Linked DNA regions of Neodiprion lecontei. The protein of the gene in region 1 binds, or shares a complex with, the protein of each later gene. Links are inferred from orthologs where the notes say so. Each region holds a gene or a part of one and is shown in the gene's direction. Other genes may lie near its edges.

The links.
Region 2: the proteins of NEDD8-activating enzyme E1 catalytic subunit (region 1) and NEDD8-activating enzyme E1 regulatory subunit are in contact, whole or in part, in a crystal structure (PDB 3DBR), measured with the Homo sapiens proteins. The link is inferred for Neodiprion lecontei from reciprocal best matches to the Homo sapiens genes UBA3 and NAE1. Residues at the interface, in NP_003959.3 of Homo sapiens: Trp34, Glu35, Gly36, Arg37, Trp38, Asn39, His40, Lys43, Phe44, Glu46, Arg47, Ser48, Gly49, Pro50, Phe51, Thr52, Phe56, Glu83, Lys86, Asn87, Leu90, Ser91, Val106, Ser107, Leu109, Asn110, Arg111, Phe113, Leu114, Arg116; in NP_003896.1 of Homo sapiens: Glu10, Gln11, Lys12, Tyr13, Asp14, Arg15, Gln16, Leu17, Arg18, Leu19, Trp20, Asp22, Glu44, Lys47, Asn48, Leu51, Pro52, Gly67, Glu68, Ala70, Gly71, Asn72, Asn73, Phe74, Phe75, Gln77, Arg78, Ile81, Phe92, Glu95.
Region 3: the proteins of NEDD8-activating enzyme E1 catalytic subunit (region 1) and NEDD8-conjugating enzyme Ubc12 are in contact, whole or in part, in a crystal structure (PDB 2NVU), measured with the Homo sapiens proteins. The link is inferred for Neodiprion lecontei from reciprocal best matches to the Homo sapiens genes UBA3 and UBE2M. Residues at the interface, in NP_003959.3 of Homo sapiens: His53, Pro54, Asp55, Glu61, Ser62, Phe65, Cys70, Gln149, Asn152, Asp153, Thr154, Arg157, Gln158, Phe159, His160, Ile170, Arg173, Trp174, Ser181, Leu182, Leu183, Asn184, Pro192, Ile195, Val196, Pro197, Leu214, Met217, Arg254, Met255; in NP_003960.1 of Homo sapiens: Lys3, Leu4, Phe5, Ser6, Leu7, Lys8, Gln9, Gln10, Lys11, Lys12, Glu15, Lys21, Gly22, Ser23, Ser24, Lys25, Lys26, Ala27, Gln31, Leu32, Gln35, Lys36, Ile38, Asn39, Glu40, Phe51, Ser52, Asp53, Pro54, Asp55.

Annotation. Positions count from the first base shown.
Region 1 is NC_060260.1:9,429,650-9,435,304, reverse strand, and holds NEDD8-activating enzyme E1 catalytic subunit, read left to right. Parts: upstream 1-1,905; 5' UTR 1,906-2,096; coding exon 2,097-2,344; intron 2,345-2,453; coding exon 2,454-2,814; intron 2,815-2,983; coding exon 2,984-3,313; intron 3,314-3,405; coding exon 3,406-3,795; 3' UTR 3,796-5,106; downstream 5,107-5,655. Other genes in the region: coronin-2B, read right to left, coding at 1,103-1,222. UniProt on the Homo sapiens protein: Catalytic subunit of the dimeric UBA3-NAE1 E1 enzyme. E1 activates NEDD8 by first adenylating its C-terminal glycine residue with ATP, thereafter linking this residue to the side chain of the catalytic cysteine, yielding a NEDD8-UBA3 thioester and free AMP.
Region 2 is NC_060261.1:43,619,272-43,624,578, forward strand, and holds NEDD8-activating enzyme E1 regulatory subunit, read left to right. Parts: upstream 1-1,673; 5' UTR 1,674-1,807; coding exon 1,808-1,875; intron 1,876-2,076; coding exon 2,077-2,241; intron 2,242-2,357; coding exon 2,358-2,540; intron 2,541-2,618; coding exon 2,619-3,114; intron 3,115-3,184; coding exon 3,185-3,318; intron 3,319-3,380; coding exon 3,381-3,583; intron 3,584-3,660; coding exon 3,661-3,797; intron 3,798-3,922; exon of another isoform or gene 3,923-4,053; coding exon 4,054-4,284; 3' UTR 4,285-4,688; downstream 4,689-5,307. Other genes in the region: tryptophan 5-hydroxylase 1, read left to right, coding at 1-141, 213-567; probable small nuclear ribonucleoprotein Sm D1, read right to left, coding at 4,732-4,814, 4,984-5,181. UniProt on the Homo sapiens protein: Regulatory subunit of the dimeric UBA3-NAE1 E1 enzyme. E1 activates NEDD8 by first adenylating its C-terminal glycine residue with ATP, thereafter linking this residue to the side chain of the catalytic cysteine, yielding a NEDD8-UBA3 thioester and free AMP.
Region 3 is NC_060266.1:5,034,618-5,038,786, reverse strand, and holds NEDD8-conjugating enzyme Ubc12, read left to right. Parts: upstream 1-1,659; 5' UTR 1,660-1,799; coding exon 1,800-1,902; intron 1,903-1,990; coding exon 1,991-2,085; intron 2,086-2,317; coding exon 2,318-2,524; intron 2,525-3,048; coding exon 3,049-3,189; 3' UTR 3,190-3,410; downstream 3,411-4,169.

The DNA of each region.
Region 1 (5,655 bases):
GCTCATGCGGAGAAGTATGACCTTTTGTATTGAACGAAACAACGGCGATGTTACACCTACGATGATAGTAGAATACGATAAGGCATGGAAACAAGGCTGCAAAGACGAATACAAAACACTGCTAATTGAATATTCCGTTGTAACAGACAACGCGGCGCGTCTCCGAAATACGTTATCTTTATTCCTTCCGATAATCGCTTCTAGAATTAGGCCTATTTGTCTAAGTTACACAGGATCTAGAGCGATTGATTGCGCATATTCGCAGATTCTTTCTCTGGGGAAATAATGTGGTTAAAAAATTATTGCAAGTCGCGTTTGGTTCGAGACGTGAAACCACAGTCTGCGGTATAACCGATCATCGAGTCTTCCCGTACACGGAAATGATTCGCGATTGTATCCGGCGAAACGTGACGAAGAGATAAGAGGTCATCGAACTCTGCAACTCGCTGCTCGCCGTGGTAAAAGTCTTACGAGCTAGGGAGAAAGTTTTTTTATTAAAAAAATTCGTTACATTTTTGACTCGACGCTACTAAATTTCTTAGTCGTCGTTGGGTTGGATTAAAACATCGATTTTTTCGTTCAACCGACCGTGTAAAATTGTACCAAAGCCGTCGGTGTTTATCCGCGTTCCTCGTGAAACTTAAGTCGACATAGGCTATGAATGAAACTTTGTTCGCTTTTGTTTTCTTACAAAACAGAGTTTAAGGAAAATATTGACGTTGCGACTGACCAATAAATCTTGATATAAATTTGCCTACGGATCACATGCTTTTCTTTCAAAATATGTACATACCAGTGTAAACAGTTGATGACCAATTTAAACACTGCAAACGGAGCGGATAGGAAATCAGGTGTGAAAAAACTGTTTATACTTCTGAATTGGAAAATTACTTGGGAGAGATTAGAATTAAATGTAATCTAATGTGATACACATGCTTAAGCGAAAAACGCGGGAGCAAAGCAGAGATGTAACGGAAAATGATCGATCGGAAGGCTGTAAAATTATCTATAATCACGTAATTTGAATGACTGCAGTAAATTGTAATAGCAATAACTGAAATGCAAAGGAAAAATTTTTGTACTGTAGGGAAAATATTCTCACTCGTTCGCTAGGCTTATAACAGGCTCGAATGTCGATCGCGTTAGTGTTTGAAGGGTTGCGAGAATCTTCCTTTCCTTCGTGTTCTAGCATATCGCTTAGCTTCTCCTTAAACCGATGCATGTCTCGTATATTTTTTGAAATATTTCTTCCTACAAGAGAGGAAAGCCGGGTTTAATAAACAGCGTGGAGCCGCTTAATTATATTGTATACTGGGTTTGACGTAAAGCTTCGTGACGTTAAATAATAACGGAGAGAATAAATTGTCCGTGTTGACACGCCGATGACTTCAATTGAAGTAATTAGCGTTCTCGCACGCCGGTTAGGCAATAAGTGTAATAAATGTATCGTGACAGTGTCGGAAAACCGAACAGTAAGAAGAAACAAGCATGCTTTGTTATCGATTTTTTATGTCTTCGCAAGTGGACAAGCGTCACTTGACACTTTACGCAACATGGGACGGTTGACATTTCCCTATAAGGATACAAGAAATTAAGAAATTGACACAAACCGTTGCTGATTCAACGTAAAATATTTTCATCGATGTATATAAATTTCCTATTTCAACATTCACGATATACAGTATTGATAACTTGCACTTCAACACGCGGGAGATGAGATAACTGCTGTTTAATCACGCTTGTTCGTATAACCGGGGAAAAGAATTCGTACACAGATCCGCTAGTCGACTGTTATTCAGAGCTCAGTGCTTATATTTATTTATCCCTCGGTCATAGACTATGCGGATTGAATAGATCACGATGCGCGTAACGAATTTTTACGCCGTTGTTGCAGCCACGCAACAAGATCTTTGGTGTCGATGGTGTTGCAGATCCAACGGATCACCCGTGACTGTGACCAGTTGTCAAAGCTCACTCGAATCATTTCAAATCCTGAAAACCCGCAAGTAATTTAAAAGATCAGGGAGTCTTCGACGAAATACATTTGTTGAAAACAGTAGCTTTCTTCAATTATTGTAATATTATTAAGAATAAAAATGGGCTCAGACTACGCGCACAGAAAATGGTGTCACTTGCGAAAGGTTTTGGAAAGATCCGGGCCGTTTTGCAGGCCCGACTTTGAACCCTCGCCGAACACTTTACAGTTTTTAAGCGAAAATTGCAAGTTATTAGTTATCGGAGCAGGAGGATTAGGCTGCGAACTTCTCAAAGATTTGGCGTTGATGGGATTCGGACAGATTCATTTAATCGATATGGATACTATTGAACTTTCCAACCTCAATAGGTAGATACCGTATGATAACCTATGAATATGTTTTTTTCCACAATTCTGAAATAACAAGCTATCATCTTTTCTTCGTTTATAATAGATTTCTTTCGTTTATCACAAACAGGCAGTTTTTGTTCCGTCAGAAAGATATCGGCGCCTCAAAGGCTGAGATTGCAGCAAAATTTATAAACACACGAATACCCGGGTGCCATGTCATACCTCACTTTTGTAAAATACAAGACAAAGATGAGGCGTTCTATCGACAATTTCACATCGTAATCTCAGGCCTGGACTCTATTGTTGCCAGACGATGGATTAACGGCATGTTGATATCTCTGTTAAATTACGAAGATGGAGAATTGGATCAGTCTAGTGTCATTCCAATGATAGATGGAGGTACGGAAGGATTTAAAGGAAATGCCAGGGTGATTTTGCCTGGCCTGACTGCCTGTATCGAGTGTACATTAGATCTTTATCCTCCACAGGTAAAGCTTTCCAAAACATGGATTGCTTCTCAAATATTATATGTCACTACTACATTTCATCCTATACTTCATTAAGATAACAGACATTTTTTCTTCCAACATTCAAGAAACTTTGAAGTCAGATTCCTTAAGACATGAAATCTGAAACAGGAATATGCTTGTTCAACAGGTTACATATCCGCTCTGCACAATAGCAAACACACCACGTTTACCCGAACACTGCATAGAGTACGTAAAAGTAATGCAATGGCCAAAAGAAAACCCATTTGATTGCCCTATCGACGGGGATGATCCGCAGCATATAAATTGGATCTATGAAAAATCAAACGAAAGGGCTGTTCAATTCAGTATTCAAGGCCTGACGTATAGACTAGTTCAAGGTGTTGTTAAAAATATTATTCCCGCCGTTGCATCTACCAATGCAGTTATTGCTGCGTCATGTAGTACAGAAGTATTCAAACTAGCAACCAGTTGTTGTTCATCGCTGAACAATTACATGGTAATTAATGAACAGATTCTTACTTGTGTCATTCAGCTCCTAATACTCCATTTATGTAGCAAGATTCGAATATTTGCTCTCAACTTTCTTAGGTATTGAACGATTTGGACGGTATTTACACTTATACATATGAAGCTGAGAAGAAGGAAGATTGTCTAGCTTGCAGCCAGATCCCAAGAGAAATACAAATAAGTAATTCGACACTGAAGCTGAAAGATTTGCTAGCAATTTTATGCGAGAGGGTTGATCTGCAGATGAAAAATCCTGGTATAACTGCAAATGTCAATGGAAAAAACAAAACTCTTTACATGCAAACAGTAGCTAGTATCGAGGAGAAGACTAGAGAAAATTTGAACAGATCCCTTGTTGAATTGGGTTTAAGAAATGGATCTGAAATAATGGTGGCTGACAGTACAACGCCAAATACAGTTGTAATGAAACTAAAATTCTCAACTAGTACTACAGATATAGACATGCTATAGCTCTCATCGGATAGCTTTTGTGCACATGATAATCATATGATAGGAGAAATATTATCTATACATTGAATCCTAAAATATTTATATGTAAATTGATTAAAAACCTTAAATTTTTGTAAAAAATAAAAAAAGAAATCACATTACACTTAGATTGCAGAGTAATTTTTGTTTACACTTACCAGATACAAGATATACGTGTATGTATATATACCTATATATTTTTTGTCTAAATTTATAAAATACTTTTATGGCACCCATTTTTGATAGAAGTTTGAAAAATGAAAGAAAACGTAAAGGTAATAAGTACAAATACTGTTCTAAATTGTTGTATTTTTATCCTCACCCCGGTTTAGAGGTGGTAGATTTGTAGCAAACTTATCACCAACAAGTAATACAGAATAAAAATGATTGTTAATAAAAGTTAATAATAGGTGTAAATTGCTTGATTTATGATTCATTAGCTTTAGTATTCTTACTGTCAACAGCATGTTCGGTGTTTACGCTTGAAAATTTTTTATGTTTCTACACGAAAATGAAAAATGACCATATACAATAATTACTTGGTCAGGTAAAATACGCATCTAGCAAAACCTACATACTTTCATTCATTTGGATCAATATCCACTTGTCATATTATTTTATTTTATTCCGCTCATCACCAGGTTTGTTTGTTACTTTTTTTTCTATTGTAGAATTTTTTGTATTTTTTTTTGTTTGCTTGCCATACGGGCGAACCGCACTGTCCTTCCTGCACTTAACATTTCCCATCTCATTCCATTCATCCACTAGATTTGGTTGTACGAAAAAAAAAAAAAAAAAGTACAGACATGATCAAACTCACTGCACAGTTTATTGATGGCAATTGACAAGATCCATCGATAAATTAGTGATGAAAATTTCCATTTCACTGGGCAATTCTTCCTGGCAACATTCTAGTGTCGAAGTACAAGAGATTCGGCTTTAAAAAAGTAGGATGTTTTTTTTTTTTTTATTTTATAGATTACTAATAGTAGTAAAATTTATTTGTGAGTTAAATTATCGAATAGTTAAACGTGTGGCCTGTAATTGTTAGTAACGAATTTTTGTAATTTTCCTTGAGAAGCAAAACTAAAAAAGTTTTCAAATGACAGGTATTGCAGGTTTCCGCATCCCTTCAAGCATAAATGTGACAAAGATCCATAGTTATGAATACAGAATGGCTTCAAGTTCAATTTGTAGTCAGATGAAGTAACTTTTTTTTCAACGTCTTCAAATTACGGCTCTAAGCATGTTAAAGAATAAACCAAAATTAGAAATGACAAGCTGACCACATGATTAGTTTTGAAAAAATTCAAGCTGAGGAAGGACCGTGCACATCAGCTCAAGACAATTTGGTTTCACAAGTACACTCGTTAACATCCGACAATATGCATAACTCGAGTAGAAAAAATATCTATAACATAGATACATTATCTATCATCCTTATATAAAACTATTAGTTATTACATAATATTAATATTTCATAAATTTCATATTTTTCTTGGTAATTCGGATGCCCCCCCAAACACTTGTTTACAGCGACAAGGAATTTTCTTTTTCTCGTCTACTTTTCGGAAAAATTGTTTCTCGAATTGTAAAAAAGAGCAGAGTAAAAATAAAACTTGATTTCTCTGTGAAATTTTACGATTAATAGATTTTGCATGACATTGTTTTCACTGCTAGATGAAGGACGTGAATTTGATGAATGTCAAACTGCTGGATTAAACGTTTTCAAACAATTAATTATTAATTATCCCATACAAATGGCAGAAATACATTCGTAGAAGATACACCGGGTTTTCTACCATACGAAATAAAGTATAAGAGATTACATGTAGCATGACT
Region 2 (5,307 bases), on another chromosome or scaffold:
GCTGAGGCACGCCGTTAGCACCCCCGAAAAAACCTTCAGATTCGAGCCGGACGTTACCTGCAAGCAGGAATGCATCATAACGGCCTTTCAGAACGCCTATTACTACACGGAGAGCATCGAGGAAGCGAAGGAGAAGATGAGGTATGACGCCGCGGGTAACCCGAGCGAGGAACCTAGCTGTGAGAAAGACAAGTTTTATTCCCGTTTTTCAGAGCCTTCGCTAATCAGATCCAACGCCCGTTCGGCCTACGTTACAACCCCTACACTCAGTCCGTCGAGGTTTTGACGGATGCGCAGAAGATCACGGCTCTCGTCAGCGAACTGCGCGGCGACCTCTGCATAGTCTCGAATGCTTTGCGCAAGATTCACGAACAAGACGAGACGGTCGACGTCGAGAGGATCACCAGTCTTCTCACCCAGGGGATCGACGTTCCCCAAGAATCATCCGATAGCGATGAGGACGACAGGAGCCCCAACGTCGACGAGCCTCGAGGAGGCCGGGATGATCAGAATGAAACCGACGCCGAGTTTCATCCGCATCTGAACCTTGCTTCGCGGCAGCGCTAAGCGACCTTTCCATACTCACTGCAGCCCGTTGACAATTTTATTCGTGTCTGATTGATGTATTATTTATTTCGCATGTCAGCGCTTTGAGCTAATTCTATAATGCATAAATATATTGCGTATAATTGTAAGTTATGATAGTATCTGGAGTTTTTCGTCGATTTTCGAAACACGACCGGGCAGATTGTCAAAGTTAGAGTGCAAGAATCGTACGTTCCTCAAGATCGAATCGATGTCCGATCATTGATGAAAAATTCCATATGTTATAACAGCGTAGAAAAAAATGGCACCACTGCATACAAACGAATCTCTATGTCTGATGATAAATAAATCAGACGTGTGTTATTACATGTATATCGAACAATATCGTTGTATCCATGAATCAGGCGTTAATAGAGTCGCGATGTAGTAAACTATTTAGTAATAAATACAATGGGTTTCAGTGTGGAAATAATTTTCATTTCGTTATTTCTATTCGTTGTACGCTCAAAAATGTCGGAAAAATGTATATTCTGTTATTTTCGTACCGAGCATCAAGGGGTCATCGATTAAAAACAAAATTAGATCTTTTAGACCATTACAAGAATGAAGAGTTATTAATGTGTCAATTTTTCTTCCTCCAATCGAATATTACGTAGTGCAACTCGTACGACGATGAGACGGTATTTTTGAATCATTGAAAATGGATATTCATCTAGCAACGAGTGAGTTAAGAATTATAGGCACCGATAGTCACTTTGTGTGTAAGAATTAAGAATGAAATCAGTTTACTCTACATAATATGCAAAGTTTACGAAATATGTGTTGTGTGCTTTCCAATAAATACTGTCAGTTCGACTTGCAACCAACTTCATGTAAGTTAAGTTCGTTTATTATTTTCTTTATTTCCTTTATTTCTTCATATATTATAACATCTATTTTCATCATCCACCAGTTTTCGGAAAATAAACAGCAAAAATAATCATCCGATCGGACAGTATACATTTATCTAACCATTTTTCTTTCGACAAATGATTTACTGTTAGACAACTCCGTTGTTGCCTTCAACAATTCGCAGCGGCATTCCCGCGCGTCAAATTCAAATTTTGAAATTCGAACGTAACGTTCGCCGTCCATCTGACCGGGTTGTCGCAGTGGCGAAAAAGTAAGTGATCTGCCACTTCGACGTTTCGTTTATGACCAAATGATTTTACAAAGTGAAATTGAACCAAAGTCAGCAGCGGATTAATTAGATGTACGCGAAATGGCATCGCCAAGCCCGAAATCGCCTGAACAATCCGAGAGAACGAGAAAATACGACCGTCAACTAAGGTGAGGTTATGTTTATCGCACGATATTTCAGGTTATGCCTAAAATGAATTATGACTTCTATCCTGTGGCTTAATTTGGTAAAATGTAAACTCGCCTCTGATTCATATGTACGAATTGCTCGGTAAATGTGCACATTTTACTGAATTGAGAAGCAGCATCTCTCGGATGATCCTTTAAATAAGTCATCGCTTCAAATAACAGGTTATGGGGGGACCACGGACAAGCTGCCCTCGAAGGAGCCCACGTCTGTTTGATAAATGCAACCGGGCTGGGTACCGAGATCTTGAAATCCCTCGTCTTGCCTGGTATTGGGGCATTCACAATAATCGACAGCAAGAAGATCAGCGACGATGATATTGGAGCGAAGTCAGTCCCTCATTCAATTATTTGTTTGTATTTTCGATGCTAAGATTAAAGTTTGGTCACTCCAGGGAATGCGTGATACAGTGAACATCGCATTGTAATTAATATAATTTCATCAGTTTTTTTCTAGATTCAGAGAGTGTTGGAAAATCAAGGGCAGAAATAGCTACTCAAGTTCTTCTTGAACTAAACTCCGATGTACGTGGCGATTACGTCGACGAGGGCCCTGAGCAAATCTTATCAAATAGCCCGGACTTTTTCAATAATTTCACCGTCGTTATCACTACTGCACTCCCAGAGAAGTATGCATCAATATTTTGCTACCTTTTTTTGAAGTGATGATCATCATCCATATTTTTACTATATCTTGTTGCCTCCAGGAGTCTAATTCGCTTGTCAAAAATATTGTGGGACCTGGACATCCCGTTGATAGTCTGCCGAAGCCTGGGCTTTATCGCGTACATGCGAGTTCAGACCAGAGAACATACTGTCATAGAAACTCACCCGGACAACGAGACACCTGATTTGCGATTGGACAATCCGTTTGAAACATTGAAAAATCATTTTGATTCAATAAATTTGGACGAACTGGACCTGAAGGATCACACTCACGTTCCATATGTTGTGATTCTGTACAAATACCTTGAGAAGTGGATATCTGAGAATGGGGATGTACCAAAAAATTATAAGGAGAAACAGCAGCTAAGAGATATGATCAGGAGTGGTATTAGAAAAGATGAGCACAATAATCCTATTGATGAGGAAAACTTTGAGGAAGCAATCAAAGCTGTTAATACCAGCGTTGGACGTTACGAGGTACCTCCCAGCGTCATGGAGGTCCTGAATGACGATTGCTGTATAAACCTTACCGCCAAGGTAGTATCGTTTCTTTTTTGTTTGAGCACTTCGACACATTTCGGACAAAACATAATGATGAAAATTTTAGAGTAAACCTTTTTGGATTATCGCCAAGGCTGTAAAAGACTTCATGGAGAATGATGGTTCAAATTCATTGCCACTCAAAGGTGCTGTACCAGACATGACGGCAGATACAGAAAAATATATATCCCTGCAACAAGTGTGAGTGTACGTGAATTTAATGTAAGTGCCGAACGGACATCTCAATGTATAATAAATTTCAGGTATCACAAACAAGCCGCAGCAGATGCGGAAGCAGTTTGGCGAAGAACAGTCCATTTGCTCAGACAGATTGGTCGCCCCTCGGATGCGATAACAGAAAAAGATGTCAAGTTATTTTGTAGACATGCTTCTAACATTTACATTCAAAGGGGATCCTGTATAGCGGATGAGTATGATCCAAAAACTGTGGATGCCAGCGAAATGAGTACGCCTTACTTTCATTTCATTCATATTTTACTTTCAGCTGTATATAGCTCATGTAAATAATGTTGACTCTTTTAGCTCAAAGTCTAGAAAATCCTGAAAGTATGATGGTGTACTACGTGGTACTCAGAGGGATCGAAAAATTCCAGGTGGAATACAATTCGTATCCAGGCGAATTCGACGATCACGTTGAACCAGATATTGTGAAACTTAAGGTACTATTTCAAAGCCTAGCGTAGAGCAAAGTTAAAATTTGTAAATAGTAGAGTATGTTTCAACTAGCGATAACTTATCACATTTGGGATGTGTGCGAACAGAATTGGGATTAGATCCAAGTATATTCTTTATAATCGTTTAATTCTGATTCTCGACAACACAGGAATTTTCAAATCTGTTTTTAGGGCCACCATACCAATAGAAACAAAGCTTTCATAATATCTAACATATTTCTACGTTTGTATGTGTACTCAGGCCTGTATTTCAAAATTGCTGATGGAGTGGGGTTGTGGGCCATTGGCAAAGGATGACTACGTCCATGAATTTTGCCGTTACGGCGGATCTGAACTACATTCGGTGTCGGCGTTCTTAGGAGGGCTAGCTGCGCAGGAGACTATAAAATTCATAACTAATCAATGCAAGCCGATCCACAACACTTTTATATACGACGCGGTAACGTCAAATTCGGCTAGTTTCTTTATTTGAATAGTAATAGAAAATTTGCAATACTATCGCGTAATACTATAATCACGTAATCATGAAATAAAATTCACTATTTCCATACAACTTGGCTAAGCATTAAATTACCTAGTCTGCAACACACGCCAAAAGATGAATGAATATCGTTAAATTAAAAATACGAAAATGCTTTTGTGTATAAAAAAGATTTGATGATTGATTTTTGACAAAAAAAAAAAAAAAGAATTTCATTTTATTATTACGTCAGATAAGGCTTACAGGCTAACTTCATGTCTGTGAGATATCAACGTTTTTATCGAACTTAAACTAGAATGCATTGGTATTAGACTTGTTTAAGAATATAAAACGTTGGTCAGTGGTGTAATTCACCGAGGTGCGTGGGAAGAGAAATCGCAGAATACAACACCTCGTTACGTTTCTCAAAAATCATCAATGGATCAACTATTTCAAACACTATCGCCTGCCTCTTCCTCTGCCACGACCTCCACGTCCACCTCTAGCGCCACGTCCACCACGGCCTCTTCCACGAGCCGCACCTAGTACAGAAAAACAAGGATTAGAAATCATCGATATGTATTAGAATACTATTGCAAAGTCTGGATTGAATGTGTCGAAAATTGAATCAAGGAAGATTAGTCACAGAAAATACTAAAACATAAATAAAATTGATCATAAAGGCCGCAAAACTTGAATGACTATAAGGACCTCGTGCGGCTTCTTTCTTCTTTGCTTTAGCCTTGGGCGTGTCATCGATAAGCAGAGTTTCCAAGGGAAGGGAATCAGGCAGAATGTAGTATCGAATGTTGTTTCCCCTCAAACTCAACGTATCGAGTTGTACAGGGTCTCTGTTCTTTATCGTCATCTTCACAGTTTTCAAGTGGGTGTTCATGGCCACATCCACACCTTAAAAATAAACATTTTTGTCATGCATCTGCAAAAACTATTTCACTTGGAGACAAAAGAGAAGCGGCCTGCTCTGTACGCTATTCCAACTGTGATTTGATTGTGTCAAGTCAAATGGCATAGGTT
Region 3 (4,169 bases), on another chromosome or scaffold:
TTTTCCTGAACATACGTCGTTTTACAGTAACGGTACGTTGATGACTTCATCCTTATGTATTTTCAGTGATCGAGCATGCCAGCAAAATGGTAAAAGAAATTGTCATAGTAAGTTTTTTCATCAAGTCAAAGATTAGCGCAACAAAGGAATATGATAGCAAATGAAATTATGTGAAATCTTAAACCTATTTTTATAACTAAATTTAACGTACTTACAACAACTCGTCGAGGAGAGTTGCGAAGTTGGGCAAGTAACATGAATTAATAAACGCTGCAACAATCCCTAGTTTATTTTATAGAGCACTAAAACGTTATCAACGGATTTATCAACGACCGTGGCTAAGCGTTATGGAAAATTAAATATTTACCCTGATTCGGTTGCCACATTAAACAGACTCCGGCTGAATTAATAGATCATAAATAGTTCGTTTCGAACAATTTAAAACGTTAAGAATCGAGTGCAATTAACTCATAGTAACATCTCTCGTTAAATAAATATTCGTATAGATTGACAAAGGCGATATTATACATGTATATATCGTATTACACGTACCACATCATCGTTGTGCAAATTTCGATTATCACTGACACATTACACACTCTACGTAAACACTGTAAACATCGGTACTCTACAATATCATTATTACAGTTACTTTCTACTATCGTTTCGTTTCATCGCCGCGACAATTCCCGATGCACCGATGTCAAAGAACATATATATATTATTTTTTTCTTCTTTTTTTCGTACAGTGAAAGGTTCACCCAACCACGGTGCGACAGACTTCACTCAAAAACACGTGACTGCGCGGAATCTTGAACAGAGCTTAAGATTTGAATGTCTCTTACAGCGGATCACAATTTGATATATTATTGCATTTGTTTAATCTTATCTGTACCCTAGTTTGACCATTTATTAGATATGAACGGTTATCAATTGTTTCGAAGAAATATGTTAAAATATTAACCTATGAAAGTGAGAGAAGCGGTTACCTAACGCCATCGCGATTGGTCATTATAACTGTCTACTCTGCGAAAACAATGCAATCCTACAGATATGTGCCAATATATGATATATGTAGAAGAGTAAACATGCTGTACGTCATTTTCGTACGTTATTTTCGGCTGCTAGATTCGTTACACCTTTTTGACCTTGCTTATGGCCACGCTATTCCATGCATACGTGGACTAGCAAGACTGTCTACGCAACGCGAATTTATTACACTATTTTTTTACTCAACGTCAAAGTAACAGAGATTTCAATGGCGATGTTTAGAAGCGGAGTTCACGCTGTTAGTATTATTTATAAGTCTATGGAGCCACGCATCGCCAAAGTGTCTACGTTCACTGAACAACTTCAAATACGGATCTTGGAGTAAAAAATTTTTTATCCAATGAGGAGATGGTCGCAGTGGCGCTATTTTCGACTGAACCAATCTACCAGCTTTCAGCGTTCAGCCGTTAAACGGTGAAAATTTTTAATTATAAGCCTTCAACAAGGTATCTGGCCATTCGCGACGGAATCGCGTTGATTTTTTGCGATAAATGTGAGCAGAAAATAGCCGGCGAAAGTGATCAAGGTCAATTAATTTTCGTATTTGTGGTTAAAAAGACGTGAATTTAACTATATGGTGGAATATTCGCGAAGCGTGAATATAGCCAGGGGAGAGCACGGTCCGAAAGGCGAGTTATCCCCCTTGTCAAAAATTAGTAGGTTCCAATTTTTTAATCTTCTGTGATTTTGCTTGAATTTAAAAAGTATTTGTATGCCTCGCTATATTGTAGCCGAACTTAGAATCTAACATGATTAAATTATTTTCACTAAAACAAGCGAAAAAAGATGGCGAATCACCAAGGACAGGAACTCAGAAAAAGGCCTCAGCAGCGCAGTTAAGGATCACGAAAGGTTGCGATTTATCATTTTTTTTATCACATAACGGGATACGATTGTGAAAGAAATATTTAAAATAATCTTTCCCTTATTTTTATTTCAGATATAAACGAACTCAACCTGCCAAAAACATGCGGCACAGAATTTCCAGATCCAGATGACCTGTTGACTTTTAAACTAATAATCTGCCCTGACGAAGTACGTATTTTACCACTCAGAAATTCTCAGTTGTTTTCATCATCCTGTCGCTACTTGTTGCGTACCAAAATTTCAGTTAGTCAAGTTTCTACTGCAGCAACTTAGTAGCGATTCTTTAAGCTGTGCTAACTTCAGCGCAGATCGCTCATGCCTGTATCTCCTTCTGTTCTCTGTTCGTCGCTCGATTGACAAATGAGCCAAAGTATTCACCTCGCATTATAATTATTCTTAGGGTTTCTACAAAGGCGGAAGATTTGTGTTCAGTTTTAAGGTCGGTCCAAACTATCCACACGAACCACCTAAAGTAAAGTGCGAAACGCAGGTTTATCATCCCAACATTGACCTGGAAGGCAATGTCTGCCTGAATATTCTTAGAGAAGATTGGAAACCTGTATTGACAATAAACTCGATTGTCTACGGGCTTCAGTATCTCTTTCTGGTAAGTATTGAACACTCTGAATTTGCGTCTCTGAACTCAATGTGCTTACTTTCATGTATTTCCAAAACTTACATCTTGACAATATATTGGGCAAATATTTTAGGCTGAAAAGTATCGAACCAAAGAAATTGGATAAGTTAAAATAGTTTCAACCTTGCAACTGAAGTCGATCAAAGTATGTTTTGTTCACACAAAATCTCTCGGATAAAAACTGTTATTAACAGATTTAGTAAAGTCAGATTATTGCACATCTTATGGTACATTTGTTACATATATTATGCATGTAAATAAGTTTCCCACAAATCATCTACCGAAGATTTTTCCTTGAACTTCTCAGTCGACAAGGTTTCAATTCAGTTTCACTCGAATCAACTTCGGTTGCACCTTTTGAATCATTATTTTATTTTTATTGTCCATTGGAGCTTTTTTTTTTTTTTAACTAGATTGTACTAATGAATAAATCTTACAATTTTATTCTTATGCCTCTCGTTTGTTTATTTTTTCTTCATTTTCTCTTTACTTAGGAACCGAATCCTGAAGATCCTTTAAACAAAGATGCGGCAGAGGTGTTACAAAATAATCGAAGAGTATTCGAACAGAATGTGGTGAAAGCAATGCGAGGTGGATACGTAGGGTCATTTTATTTTGAACGGTGTCTCAAGTGATACACCGCCTCCTCACCAATGCTGTATACAATCCTGCAAAGACTCAGACTTAGAGGACAAATACCAAGAGACTGGAGAAATGGAGGAGAACACAGTGTTCTAACGGTTACCTGTGTGTCTGCTTTATACATATTTACGTTCTTCACGTCTTGCCAGGCCTCCAAACATTTAATCCATCAAGTATTTTATGCTTTTGGCTAATAAACTTACTTAAATCTTCACAATGTATAGTTCACTAAATAGAAGAAACCAAAAATTTCCTTGACAGGCAGTTTGCGTCGTTTAAATAACAGCAACTGCACAAGCTTTAAAAAGTGGGTAGATGCAATAAGGTGGAAGCTGCTGATCTTAGGTTTCGAATTTCTCAATAGCGATCAGAAGGACACCTTGAAAGCAGTGCTGGCTATTTTAGTAGCTGGAATATAAGTTTATAAGTGGTGCGAAACAACCGGTCGATGGTCGGGATGTAACGAAGACTTTGAGTTTTCAAAGAGCGGGGACTGTAAAAGTTGAGTAGAATATTTACATAGAAAAAAGGGCGAATGTACGATTGCATTAATTTTCAAAGTAGGATGTCCGAAAGGTGGACCTGTCCATCTTCTACATCGTCGATGAAATAAAATGATTAAAAACATCGCACGTTATTTTAACTATCTTTCGAAAGTGTGATTTGTACATCGAGCTAAAGTAGCGCAATTTTATGAACCATAAAAATTTACCTGAATACTTCCAAAGGAGCGACGATAGAAGTAATCAGCTCAGACCGGACATATCTTTATTGCGTCAGTATGTAGGTTGCGACCCATACAAATCTCAATAAAAAGTCTTCTATGATTGCTAGATAATAGAACCCCCGAGTTTATATGGGATGCAAAACAACTGGTCGATGGTAGCGATGTAACAAAGACTTGGAGTTTTCAAAGAGCAGGGAGTGAAAAAGTTGAGTAAAATATTTACTAGAAAAAAAGGGGAATGTACAT